3 linked regions of the Astyanax mexicanus genome follow. The protein of the gene in region 1 purifies or fractionates together with the protein of each later gene. This does not show direct contact. Links are inferred from orthologs where the notes say so. Each region holds a gene or a part of one and is shown in the gene's direction. Other genes may lie near its edges.

Evidence for each region.
Region 2: the proteins of rpl18a (region 1) and ddx56 purify together in Homo sapiens (affinity purification with mass spectrometry; 3 studies listed by BioGRID and IntAct, counting the BioPlex papers as one, with this or other methods). This does not show direct contact. The link is inferred for Astyanax mexicanus from reciprocal best matches to the Homo sapiens genes RPL18A and DDX56.
Region 3: the proteins of rpl18a (region 1) and nifk fractionate together in Homo sapiens (co-fractionation; 3 studies listed by BioGRID and IntAct, with this or other methods). This does not show direct contact. The link is inferred for Astyanax mexicanus from reciprocal best matches to the Homo sapiens genes RPL18A and NIFK.

What each region holds. Positions count from the first base shown.
Region 1 is NC_064409.1:44,638,193-44,648,685, forward strand, and holds rpl18a (60S ribosomal protein L18a), read left to right. Parts: upstream 1-4,955; 5' UTR 4,956-5,086; coding exon 5,087-5,104; intron 5,105-5,759; exon of another isoform or gene 5,760-5,894; intron 5,895-6,727; coding exon 6,728-6,907; intron 6,908-7,180; coding exon 7,181-7,310; intron 7,311-7,429; exon of another isoform or gene 7,430-7,565; intron 7,566-7,931; coding exon 7,932-8,041; intron 8,042-8,332; coding exon 8,333-8,425; 3' UTR 8,426-8,483; downstream 8,484-10,493.
Region 2 is NC_064427.1:2,359,589-2,370,363, forward strand, and holds the start of ddx56 (probable ATP-dependent RNA helicase DDX56), read left to right. Parts: upstream 1-5,327; 5' UTR 5,328-5,395; coding exon 5,396-5,452; intron 5,453-6,511; coding exon 6,512-6,673; intron 6,674-7,000; coding exon 7,001-7,158; intron 7,159-7,282; coding exon 7,283-7,453; intron 7,454-8,035; coding exon 8,036-8,126; intron 8,127-8,370; coding exon 8,371-8,612; intron 8,613-9,227; coding exon 9,228-9,377; intron 9,378-9,635; coding exon 9,636-9,749; intron 9,750-9,850; coding exon 9,851-9,945; intron 9,946-10,238; coding exon 10,239-10,312; intron 10,313-10,775. Other genes in the region: ccar2 (cell cycle and apoptosis regulator protein 2), read right to left, coding at 29-139, 414-633, 752-898, 1,923-2,040, 2,136-2,271, 2,435-2,549, 2,925-3,010, 4,334-4,498. UniProt on the Homo sapiens protein: Nucleolar RNA helicase that plays a role in various biological processes including innate immunity, ribosome biogenesis or nucleolus organization. Plays an essential role in maintaining nucleolar integrity in planarian stem cells.
Region 3 is NC_064418.1:8,214,722-8,225,843, reverse strand, and holds the start of nifk (MKI67 FHA domain-interacting nucleolar phosphoprotein), read left to right. Parts: upstream 1-6,685; 5' UTR 6,686-7,077; coding exon 7,078-7,191; intron 7,192-8,015; coding exon 8,016-8,138; intron 8,139-8,368; exon of another isoform or gene 8,369-8,495; intron 8,496-8,579; coding exon 8,580-8,688; intron 8,689-8,804; coding exon 8,805-9,016; intron 9,017-9,118; coding exon 9,119-9,178; intron 9,179-9,241; exon of another isoform or gene 9,242-9,368; intron 9,369-10,062; coding exon 10,063-10,263; 3' UTR 10,264-11,122. Other genes in the region: si:dkey-219c10.4 (high affinity cGMP-specific 3',5'-cyclic phosphodiesterase 9A), read right to left, coding at 215-337, 1,179-1,356, 2,878-2,937, 3,034-3,176, 3,721-3,823, 3,912-3,963, 4,089-4,250, 5,220-5,307.

The sequences.
Region 1 (10,493 bases):
CAAATTGAATTACACAGAGAGAGGGGTGGGGATGAGAGAGAGAGAGGGTGATTGATAGAAACTAATCCATCCTCCTCATGGTGCACCTGTGTAGTAGCTAATTACCTCCTATTTCTTTTTCCAGTGAAATGTCATTGTTGGAGACCACTATGTGCTCCTCACCTCACTGAGCGATTATTCTTCATTCGTCTTGGACCTACTGCTACTGCTTGTGAAGGAAAGGTAAGTAGGGAAGGCTGTGGTGTAGTATTAACAAGCTATATGAAGAACAGATAACTGCACTGTAACCTACATTCGTTCCCTGTTAAAAGATTGAGAAAAATGTTTTATTTAAGATGGTGTTTGATGGTCAAGGTGGTTGACCAGTTTCATCAAAGAACACATAGTGTGGACAACCATCTACTTTTCGAATTAAACATGCTAATACCGTTCGACTGCAATGACAATGTGCCCTGCTTACTGTGCTGCAGTCCAAAGATGTTGATTCAGTGTGTAGTAGCATTAGATTACATTTAGCAATATATTTATTTTGACAGTCTATAGGTAAAGATACACTCGCTCTCTGTTTAGATTCATGTGTTGTTTTTTATTCATTCGAAAATAATTGCATATATGGTAGTCATGAACATGGGTAATTACTGATGGGACAATATTTCCAGAAGCCCCCAGTGCAAACACTGCCTCTGCTTGCACTTTGCCTTGTATGTATGTCATGTCAAGAATAATGTGTACTGTCTTTCTTCTTCTTCTTCCTTTTTTTTTAGCTGGTTCCTGGTTAGATCACCATGGAGTCCTTAAACATTCGCCTGCAGTGTGAAAGCACTTTTCTAGATGGTTCAGATATTTGGACCAATTACAGGAAGCAGAGGCAGAAAACAAACCAGAGGAAGAAAGGATTGGTGCTGTACTGAAATCTGACTCCCCTCGGCGTGCAGGCGCGTCACGCAACATTATAGGACACAAGCACACTGGGATATAATTTATTAACTGTAACAATATACTAAGTCTTACTTATACACAGAAATAAAATAAATCTAATGAGAATTTGTTACACTCATTCTGCTGCGGCAGATTTATCACATCACAGCAACTCGCCGAACACCTATCATTCTATAAACCAATTAATATAGAGTATAGAGAGACGCAGCCCACGTAGCTGATGATGAGAGGACATAGTAAAGTTCTTTTGTCCGCTTACTAAACTGCAGTGTGAAATGAAACCTAACCGGACCAAAAGGTACAGTGTAGCAAACACATGAACGTTGGTTCAGACCATGGTCCGGACTTTCAGGTATGAAAGCACCCTTAGTTTCATTCAATCACAGGACAGCTACTAATCATATAAAATATTGGTCCTTCATAATAGAAATGTACTATTGAGAGTTGTACAAGTGTCTGTGTTGCTTTTAAGGTGAGGAAACTGTCCACTGATCAAGGATTATAAAATGATTAACACAATCTGCATTTTTAAAAAGATAAGTTTGATTCTCTAAATGTACAGCTGAAATGCACTGATTGTCTTTGTAAAGATAATAACAAAGCAGTATGTCTCATGTTGAATGTTATAATGACAATAAAAACTATCACCCAATAAACTATGTTTAGTAGTTTTTTGTCTCCCCAAAGAGCAGCTAACCTGTAACCATAATATGTTTTAAAACAAGTACTGCTGTTATTTTTGGCTGTTTCTATAAGTTGGTCAGTACTGAATGTATTTATTAAGTTGAGAAAAAGCCTAACTTAAAAACTTAGAAATTTCTAAGAATAGAATGTTTTATGCAATGTGTGTTTTGTTATCTGTGAAATATATTTGACACTTCTGACCAAACCTTTATGGGTTTTTCTTTTTTTTTTCTGGCAAGCAAAAGTGAAATACTTTTTTGTAATTCCTGCTATGATACACACAAGATACACTTGAACTGTTTTGACCTCAGGTTGGCTTAATGCCATTTTTATAAGTGCAGTATTTGTATAGTTTTGATAAGCTATTGGTGATGGTACAAGATGTTACAATTTAGACAATGAAAATGTGATGCTTGCACAGTGAAAACACTTAATATCAATATTCACATGATAAATTGTAAAAAAAAAAAAAAAAAAAAAAACATTGACTAGCATTAAACTCACAAGTAATGTCATTTGGTTTGTAGCCTAATTAAATCTAAATCTAGCCTGTTTTGGGGCTTGAAAAAGAGCAGCCCCATTCCATTTCTGAGAAAGGAAAGATATGGAAAGGCAAAGGAAAATACCCACGTCTAGTCTGTGTGATGGGCTGCTCCCCAACCACTCTGTAATGTGAAAATCAACAGTGTTTTAATCAGCTGCACCTGCTCCATGGATAAAACCACATCTAATCGTTCTAAGGTAACGTCCTGTGTACGTTCTGTTTGGGCGAGAATAGGACCTGCTGCGTACGTTACCGAACGTCCTATAAAGGGGTGTTTGGGAACGTTATGTATGGACGAGAACAGGACCTGCTGCGGACGTTACCGAACGTCCTATAAAGGGGTGTTTGGGAACGTTATGTATGGACGAGAATAGGACCTGCTGCAAACGTTACCGAACGTCCTATAAAGGGGTGTTTGGGGAACGTTATGTATGGACGAGAATAGGACCTGCTGCGAACGTTACCGAACGTCCTCTAAAGGGGTGTTAGGGAACGTTTCATTTGGACGGTAATAGGACCTGATGCGGACGTCAGTTTGGTCCTACAAACGTCCTATAGAGAACGTTACAAAAATGCCCAAACAGGGACGTCCGCGAACGTCCCCGGGACGTTCCTTGTTTGCTGGGATTATGACAATTTTATTGTCTTAATAAAGTTATTATTATACTCAGTTTAAGTCTGTTTATGTTGATTGTGTAAGTGTAAACATAAAGCCCATGTATTGTTAAAGTCAGAGCTAAATATGAGTGATATTTTGTCCTCATAATTATTATAGCTAATTAAGTTATTAAGTTTCTCTGTTTTAATTTTGTCCAATTTGGAGTGCCTACATATAGGTTACGCAATCTTGTGTGGAATATTTACCATGTAAATGTCTATGTGTTTTTCAGCCTAGTGTTTACATTCTGCTCAGTTTAAGTCTGTTTTATTCATGTGTTAGGATAGCCTTTATTAATTATTTATTTACACATTTAGGACTTAATAAGTCACAGCTTAAAACAAAAGAATATGTGTCCGTAAATTTAAAATAAAGAGAAAAAATAAATAAACAAGCAATGTAAAAAGGAGAGAAGGTCACATTTTTTTATTGCCATGGCAACCATAATAAATATAAAATATTGCACCAAAGTTATAATATGATGTACATCATACGTATCGCATATTTGAGGTGAATAGTTAATTCTGGTGTGTTTGAGTAAGTGTAAAAGTAAATCCCACGTAAGCCTAGAAATGTCTACATAGACCATCAGTCTATCGAGGCACAAATACCTAAAATGTGTACTACCCTGTGTTCAAATTAAAGTTTTTTTTTTTGTCCTAAACAACCGAAATACCTCCTAAAACCATAGACTGTATATAGCTGGACAGAGGGTCGTCTCTCAAAAGTGAAGCCACCACAGGTCGGGCGCCCCCTGCTGTTCGGCTGCAGAAAGCCGTGTAACTCCACCCATTCCCATAGGTTTCAATGGCAAAACAGACAACTTTCAATCACGTTTTTTTCTAATATACTGTAAATCTACCTCCAATATTTTAATGCAACAGCTAGTGTAACCTCTGCTTATATTGTCAAATGTTTATATCCCCACAGAATTCGGTGTTTAAAACGTTATTCAGCTCTATTAAAAAAAGGTGTGGTTATTGTAAAAGGGCTGCTTATGGGCGGGACCATTAACAGACCGTCAGCTCCGTTCCGCCCCACTCGCGAGGCAGCCCTCAGGGGCGGGGTTATTCAAATGAGTAGGCTGCTCTCCACAGTCTTTCTCCCTCCTCTGGACTCTACTGCGCAGAATCAGGTGGCAGGATCGCCAACATGGCGGAAGATTTTGGCTTCATTTTCATTGAATGAATGGGAACGGAGATACGGAGTCCATCTTTTTTTACAGTCTCTGCCTAAAACTATTAAAGTGTAGCCAGTATAGCAATCGCTAAGAAAACCGAAGCAAGTGTCAACGCATGCGCAGAGTGCCACTGGCCTGAAACTGCTGGCTTAAATTCGTGGCTTTGCAGACAGACCCTTCTCGATTTGACAGCTGTGCACAAGTTGATTGACGGGTCGCCTGACAGCATGAACGCGTACCGCTGTCTCATAAGGAGCGGAGTTTATAGCGGGCATCTGTCTGACCTTCGTTTTTTTCTGTTTAAATTGATATTCCTGAAGTAAAACAGTGGCTTGTTCTAACAGTTCTAACAGACCCTCAGGTAAAGGTCCTGTTTTTTTTAGTAAGTATTTAGTAAGTTTCATTTCGGTCCATCAATTCATTAGTATACTTCGTCCATCGCTCTTCATTTTTAGCACAATAAGATAAGATAGTATCCTTTAATAATAATCCTTTATTAGTCAGTCACACTGTGGGGAAATCCACAGTATTACAGTAGCAAAGGGACAGCAAGGCATTCAGTAAAAAAAAGTGCAGCAGGATATCACAAGTGAAAAATACCACACCTTGATGTAGACAAGTATTCAGACACTACGCTGCCTTCTAAGTGAGATCGTGTGAAATGCATCAAGTTAGCATTTAGTGTATTTCGGACACAGAATATAACCATCTCAACACAAAGACAGCTAGCTTTGTTCATTCCCCTACATTGGCAGTTCTTTATTGGTGTTTGTGGGTGATGGCAGACAGTATAATGTTGCATGCAGGTCCTGCTTCATTGCTGCATCGAGCTCGAGGCTCCTCAGATGTCCGGGATCGTAGCTGAATCATATTGGGCAGGTATACAGGTCTGGTTGAAGGTGATGTCAGTGAGGGGTCTCTCAGCTGTGCTGCTGCGGTGTTGTTGTATGATCAGCAGGGGGCAGGTCTGAGTATCTGAGTAGTGAGGATCTGTGTGTGTGTAGAAGAAGAGCGGGAGGTTAGAGGCGGAGCTCGAGCGCGTTACTGCTTCCTTTTCCACAGTGGCAGTCAGAGAGACACCATGAAGGCGTCTGGCACAGTACGTACACATCACTTTTATACCCTTATTTACGGCGCTAGCCGCCTCTACTCACTTTATTATCTTATATAAGGTACTGATGTGTCGGCTGGGAGCCGGGCGGGCCGCTCGGGTTCGGTTTAAATGGGTTTTTTATAGTTTGATAATAGCGGGGCTGTGCGCGAGGACCAACATGGCGGCCGGCAGCGCTTGTGAAGACCATGCGGTGCGCGCGGCCGCTTTGTGCGCGTAGAGCCGACGAACAGACTGCGATTATTTTACCATTACTGTGGCGTCCGGTCCTGTAGAGAGCAGATCTGTGCTTTATAATCACTGTTTACCCCCGGGTAGATGAACCGTCCGGTGGTGGACGGAGTACTGGCGCTGTCTCTGGCCTGCTTTACTGATTACCCATACAGCTAACGAGCTAAGCTAACCAACTTACTGCTACAACATGAACAGATAGATAACTGTATACTACATTTATAATCAGATTAACACGTGTTTATAGTTATACGCACACTTGTACCTACTTACGCACTGTATGTATGTAATGTATGTCTGTGTCACTGATGGAAAGTGGTCTAGTTGCCTGTATAAGCTGTATTTGGTTCTTTCTAATAGTATTGGTGAAGGTCTGAGACTTACTGAACTGTTTAAACACAGCGAAAAATTATTTGCACACAAACCCAAAGATCATTATGTTCATGTGTAATGATCTTGCTATGTGTGCGCAAAGGAAAAAAAGAACCTTGTCGCCTTCCATAAGCTTGTACTGTGCCAATGGAAGTGAATTCAAGGTTCAACACCGTGAACTTTTTAAGGGTTACTCAGGAATTCGCACTTATCTCTACCCTAAACTTTTTTTCTTTTGCCCAATCTAGCAAATAATTCAGTGTGCATGGGTGGGGAAATAAAGTTATTTTTAAGCATCTGTATAATTTCAACTACGAGGGAGGAAAAAATATATTTTGAAAGCTTAGGCATCCCTGTGGATGTAGTAAATATATAAACTTTTTTTTTTTTTTTTTAATCGTTTGAAGCTGAAGCGCCCACAACATGCTGGAGTGTTTTAGGTACATGGGCACTGAATAAAAAAGTCAAGTTTACAACAAAAATATAGTAAGAAAAATCAGACAAAATGCTTATATATATTACACATATAGCTACATATTTTATTTATGACCCACTTGTACATTTTATTGTATTTGTAGATATGCTCTTAAGTTAGATAAAATCAACAAATGAATACATGTAAAATATGTCAATTTTTTGTTGTAACCTCATCACTGATTTATTGTGTACAGGCTTTGTGAAGTAGGATGGTTCTCAATTTAGTTTTTTTGAAATTCAGATTAAAACTAGTATGTAAACACCTCTTACCCGCATGAGTTTAGAATGAAGGCAGATTGGGTTCCTTTTACTAGCGCAGTACTACTCTTTGATTAGTCTAAATGACCGAAAGATATCTTTACAAATCTGTTTATTTTGCAGGTATAGTTAAGCTTATTTATAATAACTCCTAGAATAGTGGTTGGAAAGGCTGAGCTTTTGCAGGGTGGAAAATCTGTGTACATGAAATACATGCAGATTAAAATCCATGCCTGACTGCTCTTTCTCTTTTTGCCTTTTATTTTCTTTTAGCTTAGGGAGTACAAAGTTGTTGGGCGTCTCTTGCCCTCTGCCAAGAACCCAACTCCTCCTCTGTATCGCATGAGGATTTTCGCCCCCAACCATGTGGTGGCCAAGTCTCGCTTCTGGTACTTCGTCTCTCAGCTGAGGAAGATGAAGAAGGCATCTGGAGAGACTGTGTACTGTGGCCTGGTAAGTTTACAACTTTGCAATATTGATAGTGATAAATGTAGGGTGTTCTCAACTCTCTGTACAGAGGGCTGCATTTTTTATCTTAAATTATTAGTCTCTCTATGAAATCCAATATGACACTTACTTCATTGCACAACATTAACAAACACCTGCTTTGATTTAAGTGTTTAGAGCTTACCTTGTAATGGAATATACATGGTGCCTCTTTTACAGTAACTGAGGAGACTTGGCAAGGTGTTAAAAAATTTCACAAATGTGTTATTTTATCTCTAGGTTCATGAGAAGACTCCTCTGAAAGTAAAGAACTTTGGCATCTGGCTGCGCTATGACTCACGTAGTGGCACCCACAACATGTACCGCGAGTACAGAGACCTGACCACCTCTGGAGCAGTCACCCAGTGCTGTGAGTGCCAACACACAATACCACCACACCTAAGATTCCTGTCTTAAGTTCTGCAAATAGTATTGGTGGATGGCTTATGAATGATTCACATTTTTTTTCAAGAGAAAGCATGAAAATGAGTTGCACACAAACCCAAAGGTCATTATATTCATGTGTAATGTTCTTGCTATGTGTGCGCAAAGAAAAATCCAAGGACCTTGTCGCCTTTCATACGCTCTTATGTGCCAATGGAAGTGAATTCAAGGTTCAACATGTCAAACTGCCATTTTTACTCCTGCAGATTTTTGCTTCATTAATTTTAGTCCTGTTAACCCCATACTGCACATTTGTGTACATTTGCCTTATCTAGCAGCTAATTGAGTCTTGTGAAGTTAGTCATCCTGTGCTTGGTCAGGGAAATTAATTGTGCAGAGTATGGGTTCTCCTAGGAACAGGAGTGCCCTGTTTTAGTTAGTTGTTAGCTTGGGTAGTGTCATAATGAAATCTAGCAATTTTGTTTTTAATCTCAACAGTGATTTATACACTAACTTGGATAATAGGGTTATTTGATTTGTCTGATCCGTCTGATCCAAAATTGCGTCTCAGCTAGCTAACCGTTTTGCCCCATGTTTTGATTTTCAGACCGTGATATGGGAGCTCGTCACCGTGCACGTGCCCATGCTATTCAGATCATGAAGGTGCAGGTGATCGCTGCTAACAAATGTCGTAGACCTGCCATCAAGCAGTTCCATGTAAGTATTTCTTTTTTTTTCCTCTCCTTTCCCCCTTATACCCAACTGTCTACTGAGTTCTTACTTGGAGTTGGCTCTAAGCAGCAGGTCTCTCACTGTACTGGTCCCTTATGGCCAGCTCTGGTAAAAAGCCTGCAAGAATAAACAGCTGGATTCCTCTTCCAGATAAAGTCTACTGTCTTTAAATCTGGCGGCTTTGAACACTGGCAACATCCTCTTAAGTCTCAAGAACTGATGGCTTTTAATTTACTGTGACCATTTGTTAACCTGGCTCTTGTCTCTATTTAACAGGACTCCAAGATCAAGTTCCCCCTGCCCCACAGGGTTCTGCGCCAGCAGCACAAGCCCCGCTTCACCACCAGGAGACCAAACACATTCTTCTAAATTGTATGTTCTTGCTGTTAAGATTGCTGGGGAATTAAAGAAATATGACACAACTAAAGCTTTGTCTGAATTAATTATATGTAAAACTAGCTAACTTTAATGAAGTTAAACCAGCAGCAAGCAATATATCGGTGCATGATTTAATGGGTCCTTACTATGCAGATTTAAGCTTTATTTATGTCTTAGATTATTTAAATTATGCATTTTTGCTAAGTGACAGCCATTCGTGTCTAAGTTCTTGTTTTAAAACAAAAAAATAATTACTTCAGTTTGTAAGGGTTTTTTAACTCAGCCAGCCCAAAAATTTCACCTGAAAGTGAATGCTAAATTGCTTACAAGCTCATGTTCCTGCTTCTTTATGCTGGTTTTACAGGTAATTTGTGTTAAACAGACTACACAAATTGTTGCCACTGAGCAGCAATTCCTGTTAGTATGGCAGTTTCACCCCAAACTTGAGGGTTTCTTCAGAGCAACTGCAACAACTAAAATAAAATTTATGGGAAAACATAAAATGCAAATTTAAGTGCCCCAACCACAGTCTTCCTACACATTTTAATGAAAAATAAATACTTTGTATTCTAAATGTTGTAGAGTTACAGAAAATTTATTCAAATGGTTAATTTGGGGATTCCATAAGAGAACCACTTTTACTTTCATTAAGAACTACAGTGGGGGGGAAAAAGTTTTTGATGCACTGCTAAATTTTTCTACCTACCAAAGAAGGGAGAGGGCTGTAATTATTTTCCTAAGCACACTTAAACTGTAAACAATAAAAAAAATCCAGAAAATACCGATACAGATCTTGTCCAGATCCTTTGGGTTTGGGGCTCTGTTTGGGCAACTTTGACTTTCAGATCCCTCCAAAGATCTATTGGTTTTAGATCTGGAGGCTGGCTAGGCCACTCCAGGACATTAATGCTTCTTATGGAGATATTTCTTAGTTGCACTGGCTGTGTTTTGGGTTATTGTCATGCTGGAACACCCAGCCACAACCCATCTTCAATGCTCTTGCTGTACTGAGGGAATGAGGTCCAAATTATTGCGATATATGAACCCATCTATCCTCTTCAATATGGTGCAGTGGTTGTGGCGTTTATCGCCGCTAATAATCACTCCAAATCGTCAGGCAGGTTGTAAACAAAGCATTGCTCTTTATTGAATACCAGGCGCGAGCCTCCCAGCTCGCGAACGGGTGAATAAAGTCTGATTCACACATGCGCAGTAGGCACTTACATCACTAGAACAGGTTATACTCCACATGACAGTGGTCCTGTCCCCTTCACAGAAAAATGAGCATGGACGTGTCTTGAATATTGTTCTGTAGCTCATCCCAGCCTTGTGCAGGTCTGCAGTTTTGTCCCTGGTGGTGTTAGACAGCTCTTTGGTCTTGACCATGGTGGAGTGGTTTGAGTGTGATTGAGTTTGTGGACAGGTGTCTTTTATACAGGTAATTAGTTCAAACAGGTGCAGATAATACAGGTAATGAGTGCCGAACAGAAGAGCTTCAGGTCTTTGACAGCCAGAACTCCTGCTTGGTTTTCCAATACTTATTTAATGCAAAAAATAATAAATAAAAAATCATACCATGTTATTTTATGGATTTTGTTTTAGATTCTGGCTACCCACCATAACAATTACATACCTCTCGATTTATTGTAGGTGGGAAACTTGTTAAACCGGCAGTATATTAAATAACTAATTTCTGTTTTTTTTCATGGTTAAAACCATGTACAGAGCTGATCATTTAAACCACTTGAGCAGGTGATCTAAGATGCATTTGAGGCATGTTACAGCAGAGCAAAAACTTACCTCTATCAAAGAAGCATTCAGCAACCAAAACCCCTTTCATTGAAAGGAACTGAAACACCACATTAGTGCTGGCCGATTATGGCCTAAAATATCTTTAATTTTTTCACAAAAAATCAGGTTTTCGATTGTAATATGTGATATTTGGTGTTTAGAGGCTTTGGGTTGAGTCTACTCATTGAGTGAATCAATGATTCAAAACATGTGACTGAAAATTAATAAATAAATGCACTAAACGAGTCACAGAAGAAACTTTGAAGGA
Region 2 (10,775 bases), on another chromosome or scaffold:
AAATTAGACTAAATGAGACTACACTAACCTTAAAAAGCGTTATCGGGTGAACTGCAGCTCCACGTGCCTGGCCATCCTCCGAACAGCCGCAGCACTGAGAGTAGAACTCCTTGATCCCAGGCATCGACAGCAGCATCACCTACAAGAGCAATAAGAAATGACAGGGTCAAATACGTAACATGTAAAGTTAATCAAATATTGTCACATAAAAAAGATAGGTTGAAATTATGGTGTGATGTTTCCATAAGTAGTGAACAGCTGGTTTGCATGGATACTGCTGAACATGTTCCAGTCTGGTTGTATACTACTGTCACCAACTAGTGGGAGGAGCCCCTTTGAGGGGATTCTGATAACAGTGTTGTACTTTCCTGAACTGAACGTCAAAGAATGCTTTATAGTTTTGCTTTAAGTACCTTAACAGAAAAGCCGCTGTCAGCAGAGTCTGTGGACTCAGAAGTGTCCATTGTCGTCTCAGGCTGGCTCGTGCCCACGTGGAAAATGCATGGTCCTGCGAGGGGCAGCGGCTGGCTGGGAGGGAAACCCTCTGGCCAGCAGAGCTGCACGTGAAATAGCGAGGGCGGGGCGTGGAGGTGCGGATACCGGCGCTGCAGTTCCAGACTATCCAACGCCTGGCTGAAAGTGAGAAATACAGGAATAAATCTGTTTATTTCTCAAAACAAACACACTCTATACCTACAGCATTTTTATCAATAAGCAAAGGTTTGATTTGATGTCCTGTAATCAGACTAACCTGTCTCGTGGAAAACAGGAGAAGAGCGGGACGCTCTGAGTGGCTACTGGGCTGCTCTTCTTTGGTGCTTCTTCTTCAGGAGTAGCTTTCCATCGTCGCCTCTTTAGGTGTGTGTTGTCGCCTCCCCAAGAACTTCCACCTTCCTCCCTGAGTTGTGGTACAAAGAGCAACAAACACATTGAGTGGGTTACCAATATCAAATTTAATTTACGTTAAACGGATGAAGCTTTTTGTCTGTACTCCCTGTACACTTGTATTTGTGTATATTCTCTGAAAGGTTATGTACAGTGGGGAAAATAATCATTTGCTATTGTGTTTTGTAAGTTTACGCCAATCTAAAGACATCTTTTTTTATTTTAGTAGTAATAGACAGAAATTCAACAAAATCCAGAACAAAATAATTAAATAAAAATATAAATTTATTTGTATTGATTAGGTCAAAAAAAAGTATTTGATACTCAAGCCAAACTACATGATTTACAACATGATTTAATGTACTTCTTAAGTTGCGTTTTGTTGTACTGGCTGTAAGTTTTGGGTCATTGTCATGCTGAAAGACCCACCCACGACTCATCTTTAGTGTTCTTCAGGAGATTCTCATTTAAATTTCCAGTTTACAAAATTAACAAGGGATCAAATAAATACTACGCAATATTTTTGTATATGGATGGAAAGAAGCAGCCTCACTGATTATACACTGGCAGTATAATGCAGTGCAATGGCTCAAGCAAAACAGGACCACTAATGTATTGAAAAAATGGTTTACACCATTTGCACCACTGTGTACACCACTACCTGAATAATTATCATTGGCTTATCTAACTAACACTCTTTTTGGAAACCTAATCAGTGTTTAGGATGCATAGTTGTTTGTGGGCAGTGATGGTAATTACATTTAAAATGGACATTCATTTTCATGAAGTAAAATGACAAAATGTATTTAAAATTCCTTACTGTAAATTAGATAGAATATAAACAAAAATATCTTAAACCTGAACTAAGCCTGAAATAATCAGAAATACCTAGAGAAGCAAACGGCCTTAGATTAAAACAAATACATAAACAAACCCAATGAACTCCTCTTGGTCAGTGGGAAAAAAGTAAGCAATGAAAGACAAGAAAAATGTATTTTGAAGCATTTATAACTCTGTGTTGTAACTCTGTGACTCACCAGCGTCCACCTCTTCTTCCTCCCACCGGCTCAGCGTGCCTTTTCCTGCTCCCGCCCCAACCATCAAACGGCCCCGCCCACGGCATCTGCTGGTGATGGGGCATCTGGTGCATCCCACCTAAAACGCACCAGCCAGATTCAGTAAAATCAGGATATACTTACGCCACTGAATTCAGAATTACAATCAGAATGAGGTCGGTATTCATCACTGACCTGGGTTTGGTTGCATAGTAGGAATTAGAGGAGGAATTTTGGGGGATTTGAGAAGAGGCTGAGGTTTGTTTCCCAAAATGCCCGGCTTCATGTTCGCAGACATGGATGGTAACAGTGGAGGTGGAGACTTAAATGGCTGAATGAGTAAACAGCAAAATGAACACAATACAGACTGCATTTAATAGAGAACACCACAATTAACATGATGTGGGTGTCTTTTATACTTTAAAAAAAATGATACCAGTATAATAAAAAACAATTTTAAATCACAAAATATACAAAAAAAAACTGCAACATACCTGCCCATTAAGAGCCTGCACCCTTTGAGCAGTCCAGCTGAGAGGCTGCAGAGAATCCTGGACTGCTTTCACCAACACCTTTTCACCAACCAAGGGCACCCTCCCTACAACAACACTGGAGCAGAGAAAATAGACTGTGAGCACCTAGTCATACCACACGTCACGCTCTTATGCTGTTCACTGTAGTCTAAATTATGAATTCCCGAACCCAGTGCACAGGAATCCACACCAGGGCTGGGAATCGAAATTCGAGGCCAAAAATGTACAGACTGAAAGGACTGTAAAAACAACTGAGTCCCATACTTTGGTATTGGATACAAGGTATGGTATTGGTATAAACATTTTTAAAACCTATTACAACCTCCGTGTCCAGCCCATAAGGTGCTTGATAAATTAGCTGAATTAATTAGAGACACAGTACAGTGTAGGGTCAACAGAGCCAGAACTCATCACTACCTGACCTGGAGAGAACAGGAAAAACTAGACTGACCTTATAGGAAAGCGCACCTCCTGGTCCACCATCCCATGATGGTCCTGTAGCTGTGTAACAACTCCGGTGAAGACCCGCTGCCTCATCTAAGAAAACATCCATTCATTCATTCATTCAGCATTTGATGTTTCATAGTCAGACTCAATTATCATTCCAATTTTAATTCTTAGAGTGACCACAGAAGGCACACTCAGGTAATTCCCCCCCCCCCCATTTTATTTTAAAAGACACAGTAAAACAAGTTAGCTACAGTTTGTTCCAACCAATTGTTTTTTTTATTAATAGGTAATGCTATGCCCCATCACTAGCATTGTAAACCTGTTGGGTGCGTCAGCTAAAAGTGCTGTATTTCAAAATGCTGGGGGAGAACAGAGGTGGGCTATTCAATAAAACTTTGTACTCGTTATCATGTTTCACTAAACCCCGACTTCATTTCACACCAGATTTCTCCTTTAAGTCAGTGAAACAGACTCCATGCAACCAGTCAACACACATTTAGATAACAAATCAGTCTTAAAGGAACAGCCCACATTTTTTCGTGATATAATTATAATTGTAGGATATTGCTAATTTAGATAAGGTATGTTACCACCAGGCTGATATAACATTATATTATACACTATAACAGTATAATATACAGACAATGATAACGTTAGCTAGTTAGGTAGCTAGCTGTGTGTTTTGTATGAAGCACTGCAAAAACAAGCTTGATCTCAGAATTAAGGACAAAATTCTATCATTTACACAACTATTTTGCAGAGAGTTGTTTGATTAGAAAAGCTGTTAGAATCCTAATTGTAGGATAATGGTCATTTAAGAGCCTACATAAGAATGTCACTATGCGGATATAACATTTATATAAAATAGGTAATGGTTAATATTCCTACACATCTATAGATTACCTCTAAAAAGTTGAGTTTGTTGAAATAAACATATGGCTGGGGTTGAGACAATAATTACGATAGCTAGCTTAGTTAGCCTAGTTAACCTGTGTGTTGTGTATGGAGCACTGCAAAAACAGGCTTAGTATCCGAGTAAAGGACACAATTCTGGTATAACAAACCCCTTCTGCAGATCTGTGTTCAGTAAATATATATATTATTGTGTCTAATTTACGGCTTGTAAGCACTGAAATCCCGCTATGTCTCTCAGCTTGAACCCGGTGATCCATGGCTAGCTAGCTAGCTAGCTGGGTATTAGCTAGCTAAGCTAAGCTAGCTAACTAATATCATAATGTATCTTAGCTTAGTTTACCCAGCTAACTGTAGGAATATTAGTAATACTAGCGCAACACTGCTGCTACCAACTCGCCAGAAAACACGTCCACTAAACGCTACAGCTGTTTATTCTCTCCTTAAACGTTATTTATTCTGTTAATATGATGTTTTAGTGTTTAATCGCAGGCTCACCTCAGGTTTGTGTGTAGCGTTTTGTGGTCTTCGTCGTCTGCTGCTGGGGCGGTACTGCGGCAGGGTGACACCGCCAGGGCGCAGTGCTGCTGCCACCTCGCGGCCGGAGCGGAGCTGCGCTAAAGTCGCAGCATGATCTGCCGCGGTTCTGGATCTACTGATCATTAGAATAAATAAAAAAATAATTAATTAATTAAAATAAACAAAATAAATGAATAATAATACAGCGCTTGGTCAAAATAGTGCAAATGTTTTACGCCACAGGAGAGCAAAACCACTTCTTGTAGGGCTGGTGAAAAATAATGAATCTCAGTATTATTTAAATGTAGGAATTACTATTACTCAATTACTGTTTAGAGCAGTTCAAATTCAAATTCAAAACTTACTTTTTTAAATTAGTAAACAGGCAGCACCCTTTAAAGTGATGCACAAGCACACGTTTCCTAAGGATTGTTTTATGAGATGGTACATCATTATTATGAGATAGTAAGTCATAATAATGAGATACTAAGATGTCTGTGGGTATTATCATAATTATGACTTAGTATCATTTAATAATAACTTACTAGTGGCAGAACTAGTGAATGGAACTGCAATATGTTAACATATAATAATTTCAAGAATATAAGAATACAACAAAAAAATACAAGCAATACAAAAAAATATGTTCTTTAGAGTATGATTAATTCCAAATTTCTTGTTTTTCAAAAGGGTATGAATCCTTTGTTATGCTATTCCATTAGCATTATGTCAGTTGCACTTAAAATGATAACAATATTGTTTAGCACAATAATTTCTGGGACAATAAATCGTCCACACCAATATTGTGACAGGGCTAGGAAAAAAATAACTATATATCTATCATTAGAACATATCATGGAATGATTAATAACCCCAGACTAATAAAATTGTTTTTTTTTAAAATATTTTTTAAAGGACTAATGTTATGTTCTGTATGTGTAACTGCGCAGCGCCACCAGGCGGGGTCGCTGTTTGTTTCTCTGCCGCGTCTCGAGCCTCATTACTCCGCTCCTCGCGGACCCACGTGGGCAGGAGAGAAAGATGGCAGACGACAGGCTCTGTTTCCACGAGATGGGTTTGGATGATCGTCTTTTAAAGGTATTTATCTCTGTCTGATCAACGCGGTACCGGTGTGTGAAATGCGGATGTGTGTAAACAGATAATACCGTAATAAAAACGTAATAATCAGCTTAAATTCAGCCTTTAATCACCGCGCTGTTTACTGCACCATGTCCGAGAACAGAGGCGCAGAGCCAATATTCCCAATAAAAGCAGAAATCTTCAGTTTAATCGATTTCTCGTAAAGATATACCCCTCCAATCCATAAATAATAAATGATTAAACATTTTAGGTTATGTATTTATGCTTCTGTAAAGTGTTTGTGTTGTGTAATCATACTTACAGCGCCAGTACTCTACCAGAATATTAAAGTAAACATAGGTTTGTCACAATAACACATAACTGTTTTTGTGTTGATAATATATTGTCTCATAAATATTGTCGTTAAATGATAATAATGTCAATTTAAGACAAATGTAACCCCCAGAAATATTGCTAGTGTAATAGCATAATAATACAATGACAGGTGTAATAATCAGTGTAAGAGTAATGAGCTTTTAATTGTGAATATTATACAGGCTTTGTAATTAAAGTATCCTAAAAGAAAATATAAAATCAGAAATTTAATGAGCGATATAAAGGTCAGCAAAAATTAGAAGTCCACATATTGTACAATAATCAATAATGTAATTACTAAGACAGACCTACACCTTATTTAATAATAATAAAAAAAGTCCAGCATAAAAAACAGTGTTTTAAAAATGTTTTCATCCACACAAGTTTAATAACACTTCTTGTAGGACTGAATCGTATTGTAAAAACGTTTTAACTTTTAATATAAGTCTATTTCAAGTTACTTTGGAACACTTCTATTTGTAAATTATTTATGAAAGTTTAATACAATAGAAAAAAAACAAGTCTTTGTATGTTTTTGATAGCGTTAAACATTGTAAAAAGCATTACATGAATTGGCTAAAGTAGAATATATCTATTTAAAGTTCTGAAAAGCTTAGTATTTCATTACAAGTATATAAATTCAGCATTTATAATATATTGTAGCATTCTCACTGCCTTTACGTGTTCCTTTAACCCTGTCAGGCGATCGCAGACCTGGGCTGGGCTCAGCCGACCCTCATTCAGGAGAAAGCCGTTCCTCTGGCTCTGGAGGGAAAGGATCTTTTGGCCAGAGCTCGAACCGGTTCAGGAAAAACAGCGGCTTACGCCATTCCTGTTATCCAGCAGATCCTCACCTCTAAACAGGTAATACCTGACCATGTGACTTGTGACACTTTCCCTTTCCAGATGATTATACCAATACCTGCAGAGCCTATCAAATAAAATTATCAAATAAATACACATATATTACGAATTTTAAAACATTTTACAATCTGAGCTGACTTCAAAAAATGTACTAAATGGATATTAAAATTCAAAATAAATCTGTATGTATTTTTATGGAGCAGGCCGTGCCCTGATAATCCACCAGAGGGTGGTTTCTACTTTCTGTAATAAATTATTATTTATTTGTCATTTTATTTGAGATAATAAGTTTTGATCAATGGCTGTCTTTTTTTTGTTGTGTGTTAGACTGTGCAGGGGGAGCAGGCGGTCAGAGCTCTGATTCTGGTTCCTACTAAAGAACTGGGACATCAGGTGCAGACAATGATCCGGCAGCTCACTGCATACTGCGCTAAAGATGTTCGGGTGGCAGATATCTCAGGAAAAACTGAATTATCTGCACAGAAGTGAGAACACTTTTAATAATACCATTGATTAGAATAATGTGATCAATTTGGTGCTCGGGATGTAGATGTATAGTTGATAACTGTGATAATTGTGTGCATTTTTATGCGTGTTTTTGTACTTTAGGCCCATTCTAATGGAAAAGCCTGATATTGTGGTGGGAACTCCATCGCGAGTGCAGGTCCACATTTCTGCTCAGAACCTGGTGCTGCACTCGTCTCTGGAGATGCTGGTCATTGATGAGGCTGATCTTCTGTTCTCTTTCGGTTTTGAGGCTGATCTTAAAAACCTCATCTGGTGAGTGTTTCAGACTTTATTATTATACAACAATTAACAGTATTTATTTATTGTATTGGAGACTTATTGGACACTAGACAGGGGCTTATGTGTCATGCTGTGCACCACAATGTAGACATTCGCTTTCATGTGATTGGATGAGTAAAGATATTTCTATCTCGTTAACACTATATCACCACTGTTAAACATGGTGGTGGTAGCAGCAGCAACATGTTGTGATGTTGTTTTAGCTTGTGGAATAAATGTTTCTTTACCATAACATTAGAAAAATTTGGACACAGTTATGGAGCATGCTTAAATGTCAGAAAACCAAAACATTTACTGTATTTTTTGCACTATAATGTGCACCTAAAATTCTTAAATTTTCCCAAAATTGTCAGAGTAAAGAAAAAAATAATTGTATGTATAGATTTTACTAGGAGCAGTAAAGCCACTCTGCTGAAGTACAGAGTTATACAGGAGTTTCAGTTTAGTTTCTTCAGCACCGAGACTGAAGCAGTATTAGCATTAGCTGCTAGCCTTGATAAGTGCTAGCTCTTTTGCTGTTCAGATAAACAGTTTATTATTATTCTTCCCCCACAGTCACTTACCCAAGATCTACCAAGCTTTCCTGATGTCTGCTACTCTCAGTGATGACGTTCAGGCCTTGAAAGAGTTGGTTCTGCACAATCCAGTAAGTACAGAAACACACATTTCACAGTTTTAGTACCGTTCTTGCTTTAGCATGAACCTTTTCTCATGTAGAGAAACAACCGTGGAAATGAGATTGCTTGTCTGTATACACGGACAATTCTAGCCAGAAGCCGCCTGTCACGATCATTACCATCATTACCACCCACCACGCTGTCTTTGACCAATTTTTAAGATTTAATTTTAGCTGTTAATAATCCAGTTGCCTCTCCTCCTGTTCTGTGTAGGTGACCCTGAAGCTGGAAGGCTCGAACCTGCCGGGCAGCGCTCAGCTGCAGCAGTACACGGTGAAATGTGAGGAGGACGAAAAGTTCCTGGTGATTTACGCTCTCCTCAAACTGGGCCTGGTCCGCGGCAAGACCCTCATCTTCGTGGGCACGCTGGACCGCTGCTACAAACTCAAGCTCTTCCTGGAGCAGTTCGGCATTCCTGCCTGCGTGCTGAACTCTGAGCTGCCCGTTCACTCCAGGCAAGTACTTAAAATTTTTATAAACATTTCCTAACCTTTAAAAAAATGCTTAAAAAAGTTTCTGCCTCTGCAGCTCCTCTCAGGTACAGCTGTGCTATAGGAGAGGATGATGTTTCTGCGTACTTTGGTACGCAGACACATCACAATATGCAGATCAGTTAATCAATAATACTGTCCAACCATCTGCATCTCCTTGCTATCAGAAGCACACTGCTGCAGCTCAGCCAATCAGCTCTCCCTTCTGCCCTGCGTCTAAACCCATACATCACTCAGTGCCTCTCACAAACTACCCCTCCCGTTTTTTGTTTTTCTTTGGGATGGGACTAAAGTGCTACTGGACAATTATCATTACGCCTCAGTCCACATGCTTCTTTCATTTTCAGCGATTCTTCTGTGTGTCTCAGCTTGTCCAGAAATGCATGTGTAAAGTGTGAATCAAATTGCAAACAGGAAATTCTCTGACCACAGGAGATTCTCTCACAAATACTGTACTTATGACTCCCCTGTGTGTTATTAGAATCCATATTATGAATTAATGCCAAGCTTATTCAAACAGATGTTGAGCTATTTGTGTACATAATGTTTTAATGTTTGGATGTTCTGTTTATCTTCTAGGTGTCACATCATCTCACAGTTTAACCAGGGATTTTATGATTACATCATCGCTACAGACGAGCAGGTGCTCAGTATCCCATCAGCCTCCTCTCAGAGCGCCGAGGACAAAGGAAAGAAAAAGAAGAAGAAGAAGAATGGGAAGAATAAAACGTACGGTTTGAACATCTATCTCAATATAAGACCCTAAGGTGTGAAATAGTGGCAGCACCTTAGACCTCTGGACCACTCAGAGCCCAAAGCCTCTGGTTTGGAGTGTCCTATTACTATTGGCCATATAATGTATTTTATACACAGTTCATCTCTTTCCTAAAATATGCATTGAGATAATAATGAAACGAATGTAATTATTTTTTTAATAAGCTGAATTTATTTAAATCTAACCTTTTGAGTTTGTATTGTTGTTTTCAGGGGTAAAGATAAAGAATACGGCGTGTCCAGAGGGGTCGATTTCCAGAACGTGGCGAATGTGATCAACTTTGATTTTCCCACATCTGTTGAATCTTATATCCACAGAGTTGGCAGGTAAACATTAATCCTTTTTAATTTCTCTTTTACATCCAGATGATATTTATAATTATTCATATTTAATGCTATAATAAATCATTGCTCGTATATTTTGGCAGGACGGCTCGAGCAGACAACCGTGGCACCGCCCTGTCCTTCGTCGCCCATTCAGAGCTGTCTGTGCTGGAAGAGGTTGAAGCTTCTCTTACTGGAGGTATTTAATACTATATATATATATATATATATATATATATATATATATATATAAGATTATTTTACATAATTACTTGAATTCAGATGTAAGAGTAAAATGGAAGTTCTGGACTTTTTTTTTTTATGTGTTTTTGCCTGGATATCTAACCTTTACCACCAATGACCAGATTTGACAATCTGAAATTAAAAAAAAAATTGACTATTAAGCAGCCAGCAAATATCTTTAATCGTAATCGATTTTGCAATTGACATGAATCAATCACCCACTGAACTTTATTCTCTGTTCATGTTCAGACAATGCAGACTGCGCACTGAAGCCATATGCATTCAAAATGGAGGAAATCCAGGGATTTAAATACAGATGTCAGGTATGAAGTCTACAGTCAATATTCATTAAATTATTTTTTTTAGTTTCATATTTTCTGTATTGAGTACCAGACACTGCTGCTTACACTCTTATGGTAGGAACGAGTTAGGAATGACTCCACCCTCTGCTCAAATTTGGGGCACTGGGTGATGTATGGGTTTAGGGGCGGGTCATGAGGAAGAGCTGGGCTGATTGTCAGCAGGGAGGCGGGATTATTCATTGACTGACTGATTTGCCTATAGCACAGTTGAACCTGAGAGGGCGCTGCAGAGGCAGAAATTACAACAATAAAAGCATTTTTTAAAGTTTAGGAAATGTTTTACAAATTATAATGGTATATTTCATAACTTCAGAGGAACACATTTCAGCTATTAATGAAAAAAATATGGTTTAGGGGTTTAGTGGCTCTGTAAGAGATGGGGAAAGGGGGATAAGGAGGGATTCTCCAGGACACCTGAGGTGCT
Region 3 (11,122 bases), on another chromosome or scaffold:
GGAGAATCTTCACTGAAAACTCACCCTTATAACACTGCAATTCAGGAGAGTGTCTTTACAGCTCCTTACAACCTGACTGGTAAAATTCATACATAAGAAGCACTGGATTATAAGGCGCACTCTCAATTTCTGGGTAAATTAAAGGATTTTAAGTGCACCTTATAGTCAGAAAAATACAATATTTCTAGAAAAAAAAATACAGTGGATTTCTTACCTGGTAGGCGTTGTTGTAGCCGGTGTGATCTAAATCATGACACACAGCTGAAGTCAGCATGATCAGGAGATCAACACTGTCAATCTTGCTCCTCAGATCCGTCAGCCATATCAGCCCATACATCTACCAACACAAAAAAAGCTCCTGATGCTGAGATCAGTGTACTAGGAACCTGTTTACACCTGGTTACTTCATGTGAGTAGTATCTGGATTGTATCCTGTAAAAGATTCTGACCACATGCATTTAAACTGCTCATGGAAGATAATGGCATTTCCAGTTATTGAGACTAAGATGGTCTGAATGAAAAGAATCGTATTCATGTTTGGTGTTTTTACACTCGCGTCTTTATCCATACTTTTCTCAGACCCTAATTTTTAGACTTTTTTTTTTTTAATTCAAATAATTTGAGGTTCCAAAGATTTTACACAAGTCTGCATTTCACCTTCTTAATCCATTGGGGATCATTAGTCAACCAGTCTTTATATTATATTACAATTACCCATTATTATGAGTTCTGTTAAAATCAATCTTGATTATTGATCCTAATACTTAATAGAAATATTGTTTAGTAATAAAGTTGTATTGAGAGGGACAGTGGCTCATTATAAGTCCCATTTTTATAGTGCTGTTTTTTTCCTCCTTCACATTGTATGTGTGCAGAGAATTGTCAGTAACCATGGGCTGCGAAGGATACATCAGTTGCGTCCTTGAAATCCAAACCATCACCTAATCAGGTATTAGTTTGCTATCAACCATAAACAAAAATAGCCATGCTTTTTTGTTGTGACTATATTTAACACAAATCAAGCAGTAGCTATCTAGTAGTTATCTATCAGGCAGTATGCCCTTTACTAATGCCTGGAAGGTCGAGTGGACAATTGAAGTACTTGTGGTCAAGCTGAGCTGATTGCAATGTCAATCCCTTTCTCTCTCTCTCTCTCTCTCTCTCTCATGCTCTCTCACCATCTGAGTGACACAGAAGCAGTGTTTGAAGTTGTGGAATGGGATGTTGTTGTAGCGCTTGTAGACCTCATAGAGAAACTGCTGCAGGACGTCCAGCTCTATGTTGAAGGTGGAGATGAAGTCCAGGTCTGTATACATCACCTGAAGCAGCACCATGATCTCTGCGTCCTCCCACTGCCTAAACACAGAGACATGCTTTTCACACTGTATGGACATTAGATGATTAATGAATTATCTGATGAGCTAAAAATGCTGCAAAAATTGGATTTTGATGCAAAAAATTTTTTTTAAATTGTATGTAGTAAATGTATGGTTAGTTTGTTGTGTCATTTTACCAAGGGCAATTATGGAAATGTTACAGATTATGATTAAAAACCAAAGCAAAAATTTTAATTATATAAGAAATTACAGTTATGTTTAGTAACAAGCTTTTGATTGGTGGAGACAGAAAAGAGGGGCATCAGTAGAGAAAAATATTAGTAAAAGGGAGGAGATGTGTTGGTTATGAACATGTAAGCAAGAAAAGGATTGTATTTTATAGGAAATAAGATTAACAGGCTTCAAACATGTTCCTCCTTCCAAAATCTTGTTATTTTCATAATGCCACTTAGTGGACATGGGTATTAAATCCATAACCTTGTGATTAATAACAAAATAAAAACCTACGATCTAACGTTACTTCATGAAATTTAAGCTTTTCCGGTTTCCCCACTTGTTTTGCTGCCCAGTTTTTCTGTATGTCTGTATGTGAGGAGGATCATTCTTTTCTTATCATTTTTAGTCCTGACCACAACATGATGCTTTGATTCCTGCATTCTGATTGAAGTTGCACGAGCTAAGATGTTCATGTTTTTGTCCCCTTCACGCATTGCCTTTATCACTCCAGCAGGCTTTAATAGTGTTCTTTGATAGAGACACAAACCTGACACACATTTACGTCCAAACAGTGTTTGCATCCGTGCAGAACCCTGTTTTGTTAATCTGAAAGGCCTGGGTTCAAAAACTAATCCAGAAGACCACTGCATAAATACAGTCTTCAAAGCATGAAGCCGAGTGCTCTGTTCTGAAGGACTGCTATTGATTTGTAAGCCCCTGGAACAACCATTCATATTGATATGAGTTCTTTTGGGCAGATGAAAGGACTGAATCTCCTCTGGCCTCTTTATGCACGGCAGAGGAGCTGCGCTTTCACTTCTGCAGCGAATGTTCATTTTGCTATAGCAGGTGCTCAGCTCATTTGTTGGACTTACATAGGCTAATGATGTTTAATATTTTAGCACCTTGTGCCTAGAGGGATATAATCATCCTTTATTAAATAAGTCATAGGAAATCATTGTCCCAAAAATAGTGAAATATAATGTAAAATAATTTATACTATGTGCACACTTGTGACTATGCTGATAGCAAGACTGTTCACTTTGCTTTTGGAGTTATTTATTCAGTGAATTGCTCTCACAATATGATTTCCTTTCCCATACCTCACCTTTCCACACCTCCCTGTACCTCAGTTTAATCTTCTCCCTGTACCTCAGTCCCATCATCTCCATGTACCTCAGTCCCATGTCCTACCTCCCCTCTCTACCTCAGTTCTATCTCATCCTGTACCTTGGTGTCATGTCCTACCTTCCCTTTCTAGCTCAGTTCTCCTCCCTGCACCTCACTGTAAGCTGAATTGTGTTGATGTTTAAGTTAAACTCACCAGTTGTCAAAGGTGGGTGTCTTCAGGTATTGTCTCACCTCCTCTGAGACCTCCAGAGTACTGTGTGAAGACATTTCAATAATGTTAAACTCACTTAACCAAAAACTCTGCGTAGTGCTGCAGAGCAGGGACTAAAAGTGAAGATTTGTAGCTCACCTCATCTGGAGGAACTTTTCCCGGACGTGCTCACACTCTTCACGTGTCTTGCGCAGCGTTCTCTTATGGTAGAACGGTGAAGGTTTATGGGGTCTCTCTGAGAGTTCTTTAAACAGCCCCAGCCAGCTCAGGTGCTCCACACTCTAAAGAGAACAGAAACTTATAAACACAACCAGGCAGAAAGAAAAGGGTGATTTCATTTAAAATGGTAAAAGAATTGCATAGACCTGGATTAAACTCCTAAAGGCCTGGACGGGGCCTACATTTCATTTTTTATTTACTCATTACTTATACATAGAAATAACTGTGTGGCAATGGGCAATGCTGCTCTATGCAGATTATGCAAACTGTGTGTATCTACACAGTTTGGTAGCATCATGTAATAGTGGAGGCCTAACCATGGGAAAGTATTTTGAAAAGACTAAATTGGGATGAAAATTATGTCAAATTAAATATGTCTTTACATATCCAAGACTTTTCAAAGTGGAAATGGTTCTTTGCCTGGTTGGAGTTCTTTACATTTGTGGGAAACTTTATTGTAACTGGATTGATTTTGGATGGTGCAAATGGAAGCTATGGTTTACTAGTCTGTCAAACCATTTAAATGATTATGGTTGAATTGATCACTTTAGATAAATATTGGCCAAAGAAAGACATTTCCAGATATATGTACAGATATGAGTTTACCTCCAGTTTTTCCCGGAACGACTCCACCTGTCTCTTCATCTCATAAACAATGGCCGGAGTCTCACTAGCTTCAGTAAGAATCTTCTTCTCCAGGCTTTGTAACCTGGTTGAGAAAGTGTACTTTCTAAGTTTATTTAAAAAGTACATGTCTGACAATATGTGGACTCAGATTATACACACAGTATGTCTACCTTTTCTCCATGGAGGACAAATCGAAGCCCAAGGCCACTGCCAGCTCTGTACCTGAAACATATCACAGCAATCGATTTCTCATATGAGTGAATTTTCTCCATATTGTCATTTCAATCATGAAGGACAGCTAGTTCTGCAGTTCACCAGCTTGTCTCCAGTTTTAATTCAGAGAATACCTAATGGCTCACTGTTGCAGTCTGCAGCAACCACCTCCAGCTTGTAGCAGGAATGAGGGCTGTTTGGGGTCAGCTGAGGGGAGATGTTGATGATGTTGCCTTTGGGGTTGTAGAGCTTTAGGATATCGTGAGGCCCAGCTTCAGCTGCTGATCGGAACAGATCTGTAGGAGAAACATTTACACACACACAAGGCTGGGAAAGGGTCATATGTACTGTATATTTACTAAAGATTATATAGCTGCTGCCAAAACAAATCCCAATTCTGTTGAGAAGGAAATTTCCAACCCATCCATTTCCAAACTATATTTTTCTGGTATTTTTCAAAGACATTTAATCTTGTGTTAAAACAACACTATATATATCAGTGTTTTTACCTTAAAAAAACAGCTTCAGAATCAAAGTGATACAAATAAAATAAAAATATGTCTCACTCTACCCCCTAAAGTGGTTTGATTAATTAGGTTTGTATCTGTTTTAAATATGTCTTGGGTAAGCTACACTTCATATGTATCTGGCTTGGCCTTTTTCAGACATATCCTGATACTTAAAGTGTACACACATTAATTGACCAATTGTGAGCAGTGTCTTATGTTGTGTTTGAATCTGTCTAGAACCCACGTGAACGTGGATGTGACTCCAGTTCTGAGGAGAACACCATGAAGTATGTTGTGCACTTGATGCAGAGCCTTGTCAGCTCCACCTGTGGCCCATTCTCTTCAACAAGATCTCTCTCTCTCTCTTTCTCTCTTACTCTCTTTCTTACTTTCTCCCACTCTCTCGCTCTGTCTTTCTCTTTCTGTCTTTCTTACTATTTCTCTTTCTTTCTAGGATAGGAAAATAGGAAAACACTGAGGACATCAATACAGGTACAGATGAAATTTATATATAAAGCTGGATACTACATGTTTTTTATGCTTTCAGCCTAATTGACAATTCTAAATAAATTCTCATCATAGTCCTGCTCACGTCATCACATTTATAGCAATAAGAGCCAGTACATGAATTTGCCTGACATTTAATGATATTTCTTCCAAACTACGGTTCGACCTTCGCTCCACTTCATTACGTTATTATTTATAAAACAACCTTCAATAATTCTAAATAAATAAATGAATTAAATGTGTCCTCACCTTTGACATCCTGTGCAGGACAGTCAACAGGGAACTCTGCTTGCTCTGGTCTTCCGTTCACTGTAAAATAAATGATTTTAGATTCCATGCCAGATGCTGACTCTCCCTCACTTCCTGCAGCTGAATGATCTGTTTACAGTGTGACATCTATTTAACAGAGGGCCACTTCACAACTCCTCCTCCTCTCCTGTCCCTCCTCCTCTACTGCCATCCCTCTCTCCTTTCTTAACCACCTGGACTGGGCTGCACCGTCTTGTTTATGTTCCATTTTAAATCTGTGTATACTGTCTAATGTATAGTGTCTGTAATAAGTCCTTAGTTAACATTGGCGAGTAGTTTCAATCTATCATTTTACTAAATGTGGTTGAACAATCTGTATGTTGTGTCTTAACTAGTAATGACTTTTACATGACAAAAGCAATTAAAATGCTTGATAATACTAGTATATACTGTTTACACTGGAAAATACTGTATTTACAGTACCAATTGACAATGCCAGTGAATATCAAAATAGCAATTTCTGCATAACAGGGTCCGTAACAATAGTATCAGCTAATACATTTGACAGAATGCTGTATGTTTTAGTGGATAATTTATGAGTTTGATATACTATAGTAGTATTTGTATAAACAGTGTAAAAGACATTTATTTGTTACACTTAAAAATGTATATTGTATGTATATTCTAATAATATCTGTACCAGAATATATATATATATATATATATATATATATATATATATATGTATATATCAAACTAATATTTAAGGTTCTGGTACAGATATTATTAGAATATACATACAATATACATTTTAAGAGCCAGTACATGAATAGAGCCAGTACATGAATTTGCCAGTACATGTATATATATATATATATATATATATATATATATATATATAGAGAGAGAGAGAGAGAAAATCCTAAAAGATGGCAGAAGCAACAAGCCCTGGGCCAATGTGGCGTAATTATAACAAATCTGTTCAAAAAGCCTTCCGCAGAGATGTACATACATTTTTACACAGGGCCAGGTTTGAATAGACATTCTCTCTCTCTCTCTCTCTCTCTCTACCCCCAGACAAAGACTGGTTATGAACTGAATGCAGGAAAGTACAACAACACTGTTATCAGAACCCCTCCCACTAGTTGCTGACACTAGAATATAACCAGACTAGAACGTGTTCAGCAGTATACATGCACACCACATTAGTTTTACTTTCAAATCATTAAAACAACACACCAAAATCTCAACCTATGCTTTATATTTGACAACATTATTTAACTGAACTGAGATTATTTAACTGAACAGAGTTTAATAAAGAGCATAATACAAAGTATTTCAGCATAAAATCACATATTTATAATGTGTGACAGTGCCATGTATCATTATTACATCTCTGCCGTTTGTAACAAACCAAACTCTTATAAGAAAAAATCCATTGATGGAATAACCTGGTCTATATTCAGTATATTCAGGTAGTCAGCTGACCTCATTCTTTCAGCACATACTGTTGCTGAACCCAGACCTAACCAACTGCAGCAACCCAACCCCACATAATTGATCCTTGGTTTAATCCAGGTGGCGACTTATTTTATTTGACTAGGCACGGTATATGACCAAATGAGCTGATTTTAGAGGACAGTGCTTTGTGCAGAGTCCTCCTTTCCAGATGGGGTCTCTGTATTTCAGTATTTGAGTCGATGGGGGACTTTTATTGTGAAATATTTCCGGTTTTCCGCCATGTGTTACGCTGCTGTTCTTCCTCAGTAGAAACGTGGTTGGTGGCGAAGCAGCGGGCTGTGTGTGTAAGTGTAGTTGTATAGTTTTTTTCTGTATTTGAGCTGTGTTTATATTAATCATGACTGAGGGCAAGAAGTCCTCCAAGACCAGCCCGAAGCTGCTCGCCCTGAACCCCGCGGAGGACGCCGAGTTTCAGAAGAAAATCCAGCAAGTGAAGGGTCGCCCCAGAGCGGTAACTATGCTACACTCTACTAATCCTCATGCTGTAGAGCAGCAGTGTTATTGCTGAGAGTTAATGAGTGAGGACTGTGTGAGATATCAGTAAAATGTTTAAATCTGCTCTGTTTGTGTCATGATGAAACTACCAGTGTGACTGATTTTCTGTTTTTTCCCTTTAATCCTCGTGTATTATAAATTCAATGCACTTTAACATGTGGAACACGTGGTAAATTAGCTTTAGCCCTGTTAAGTGCTTACAAACCTTTCTCAGGACCTTCAAAAAATTAGTTTTAATTCTCTATGACACGGTGTTGTCGTTATTGCATTGTCCTTTTAATGCGTTTTCTATTGTTACTGAGGCTATATTGTTTAAAACAATTATTTTTATTTTCATTTTATCAACCTACTAACATTATTTTACCGGACAAATATGAAAATCTGCCATATTGGTTTTGTTTTAGGAAACAAAATAATGTAACTCATCCATACTTATTTATTTTGTATGTATTAACTTTAATTGTTATAATTCAGAGTATTTAGTGTAAATCAGATTTTTTCTGTTCATTTTATGTAGCTTTACCTGTTATGGTGCGTCATAAACTATACACTGACAATAGAGATATTACAAAAAGTGTGTGTGTGTGTGTTGTGGGAGGTCTCAATAGCCATGTAAATTCTAAAAATATTCATTGTGCAGCTTCCATAGGTTTGTTAGGGTTGGATTAACCGCAAAAAAGTTCCTTAAGGATCTAACCGTATTTAACCGTAGTTTATGTAGCCATTTATGTTTGATTGTATGTGTCTTGTTTAACCCTCCTGTTCTGTTTTTCCTCTCAGACCCTGAAGCCTGGAGTGGTATATGTGGGCCACATTCCCCAGGCCTTGGCTGAACCGCAGCTTAGACCTTACTTTTCACAGTTTGGCAAAGTTACAAGGTTACGATTGTCCAGAAGTAAAAAGGTGAACTTTTTTTTTTTAATTCAAACAGGTTTCCTTTATTTATTTATTTTTATTGTAGTAATATTTACTTTGATTGTATGCATGAAGGGTCATGTTTTCTAGAAATAATTCATTTCAGACTGAGATAAAATGTGTAAATGTGTTTAATTTCCTTATTGTGTCCTAAGGAGATGATAAAAGAAGTTAAATAAGATGAATAGGTAAATAGTAGTAGGGTTCTGGATATAGGCATATTCTGAAAATTACCTTCAGCATGGCCGTTGCTGTGGGTAAGATAATTGTGCCAACAGAAACGTGGTACATTTAGCTTATTGCCAGATGATATAGCTGTGCAATGAAACCCATGTGCCTACAGGCTAAAAAGCTGTGGATGTTTCTGCAGCTGTGTCAATCACAATTGATTAAATAATTTTGACTGATCTTGCTCTTTTTCATTCTTAGACTGGCCGGAGTAAAGGCTATGCCTTTGTGGAGTTTGACTGTGATGAGGTTGCCAAGATTGTGGCTGAGACCATGAACAACTACCTTATTGGGGAGAGGCTGATCAAATGTGAGTAAAGTAAATTAATTTAATTTGTTTTTTTTGTTTTTTTCTTTGTTACGGTGGTGCAGTATAATGCCAGTGTTAAAATGTCTTGTTTACTTATAATATAATATTTTGAACAGGTCACCTGATTCCTCCAGAGAAGGTCCATGAAAAACTTTTTGTTGGTTCTCAGAGGATTTTTAAAAAGCCCAGACTTCCTGCAGTTGCACGGTACAATAAAAGTCACAGCTCAGAAGATCTGAAGAAAGTTACAGGGAAACTTCTAAGAAAAGAATCCAAGCTTCGCAAGAGACTGGCAGAGAAGGGCATTGACTATGACTTTCCAGGATTCGTAAGTTTTCTTGTTTTCTATATGTCTTATAACATTTCGTATATTTTGCGTGTTGGACTAAATCAATAATGCTGCTACACTTTTTGTTCTGTTCTTTTACAGGCAGCTCAAGTTCCTGCGAAGAAAGCTCAGTCAGGTGCTGACACATCAGTCTGTAGTGAGGTGAGCTCTGATGTGGAACAATTATAGAGATGTTTAATGATGTAAAGAAACATATTTCAAGGCACAGTCTGAAAATTACTCCAGTTGTCTTAGTTTTCTGGAGTAAGATAACTGTGCCAACATAAAATTGGTACATTTAGCTTATTGTCAGCTTATATAGCTGCACAATGAAACCCATGTGCCTACACCCTACTGCTTATGTGTTCCTACTTATCCTGTCATTATGTATGTTAGCATATTATGGTGTTTTTAACACCTTCATTTTTAAGTCTGGTTAAATTGATCTTTGGTTTACCTTTAAGTTTGAACCAAACCGCTCTGAAGGTGCAGTATCACCTACATTTCCCAGATATTTACTACAGCTATAAACAAATGCACTGTCTGCCATTGTTCCATGTTGAATTACACAGATGTAATAACAATCAATACAGTAATTTGTCACAAAATAAACCTTAACTACATAGCTGTATTTATTTTTTCTTTCCATTTAAATATCCATCTCTTCTTAAATAAACAAAAAATGTCTCACAAATGAAACATAACCAGAATTACCATCAATAATTAATCCTAGTAAAGGTCATGATTGATTTTTTTTTTATTTCCCAAAGTCTCAGATCAGGACTCTGTATAACAATTTAAATTAAATTATATTTAATTTGTATAACAAATTATACTGGCAAAAGAAAATGTAAAGTTAGGAAAATCAGAATAAAATGACACCGAATGAAAATAAATACATCGGTGCATGACTAATTGGATTGTGTGTATTGTTCCTCAAATACATGTAATATGGCATTGTTTAGGTCATAAAATTATCAGAAATATTGGATTTAATTTGTAACAGTTCAGCAGAATATTTGATTAATGATTTGTCTGTTTTACAGGACGCCACCCCAGTATGTACCCCTTCAATCCTGGAGAGAAGAAAGTCAATAAGAGTAGAGGATGATGACGTTGATGATGAGATTGTCCTCAAAACACAGTCGGTGAAGAGTGAAGATGTTGAAGGCTGTGAAGAGGACACTGAGGAGGAAGAAGAGGAACAGGCAGAAGCAGAGGGAGCATCGGATGATGTGGAGGGTTGAACCTCTCTTCTGTTCTTTAGGACTGTATTAGTTCTTTGGGGAGAAACATCTTCCTAAACTACTAAGCTTTCATGATTTGTATATAAGACTTTCTCAGTTCATCACACAGATGGACAGATAGAGAAAACGCACAGCTGATGCCCTCATTGAGACTTGAGGAACTGTTTCAGCATTTGTGCATATATTGTGCATTACATTTGCTTGTAATGCAGATGTTATATATATGTGTGGCTCTGTTCTGGCTGTGGTTTAGCATTTAGTTGCTTTGCTTTGTGTAAAGCAGACTAGAGCTTTACAGAGTCATGTTGAGCTGTATAATACACACAGGACTATGTATCACCTGAATAAAATGTGTGTGAGTTTTCTTCCCTAAATAATTTTGCTCCACAGCAGTAGAATGAGGGATAAATCACAAATATGGAAAAGCAAAAATTGTGCTTGTGTCCGAATGGTTGTTAAATATATACCTGTTAATAAAGTTATGCAGGAGAAGTCTGAAGTGGACTTGGTTTGTAGTGAAACATGATATCGAGTACAAACATTTGTTGAATAGCCCACCTCTGAAATACAGCACTTTTAGCCAAAGTTCCCTATTTTTACACCATTAACAACAAGCTCATTAAGTAGCTCCGCACTTCATTGGTAGATTTGAGTGTCTCGACATTTAAAAAAAGGCACTGAGAGCTTTAAAAGTGCACAGATAGTTTATTAAAAACACTGTAAACACAGTAGCTTGAGGTAGTTAGTTGGTAGCGCCATCTTACAATTGTCACAATATGTTGGCTTATGAGCACAAACAAACAGGATAGGGTAACGAAATGCAGTGTTGAATAGAAATGCATGAATTTCAGTTGCTGCT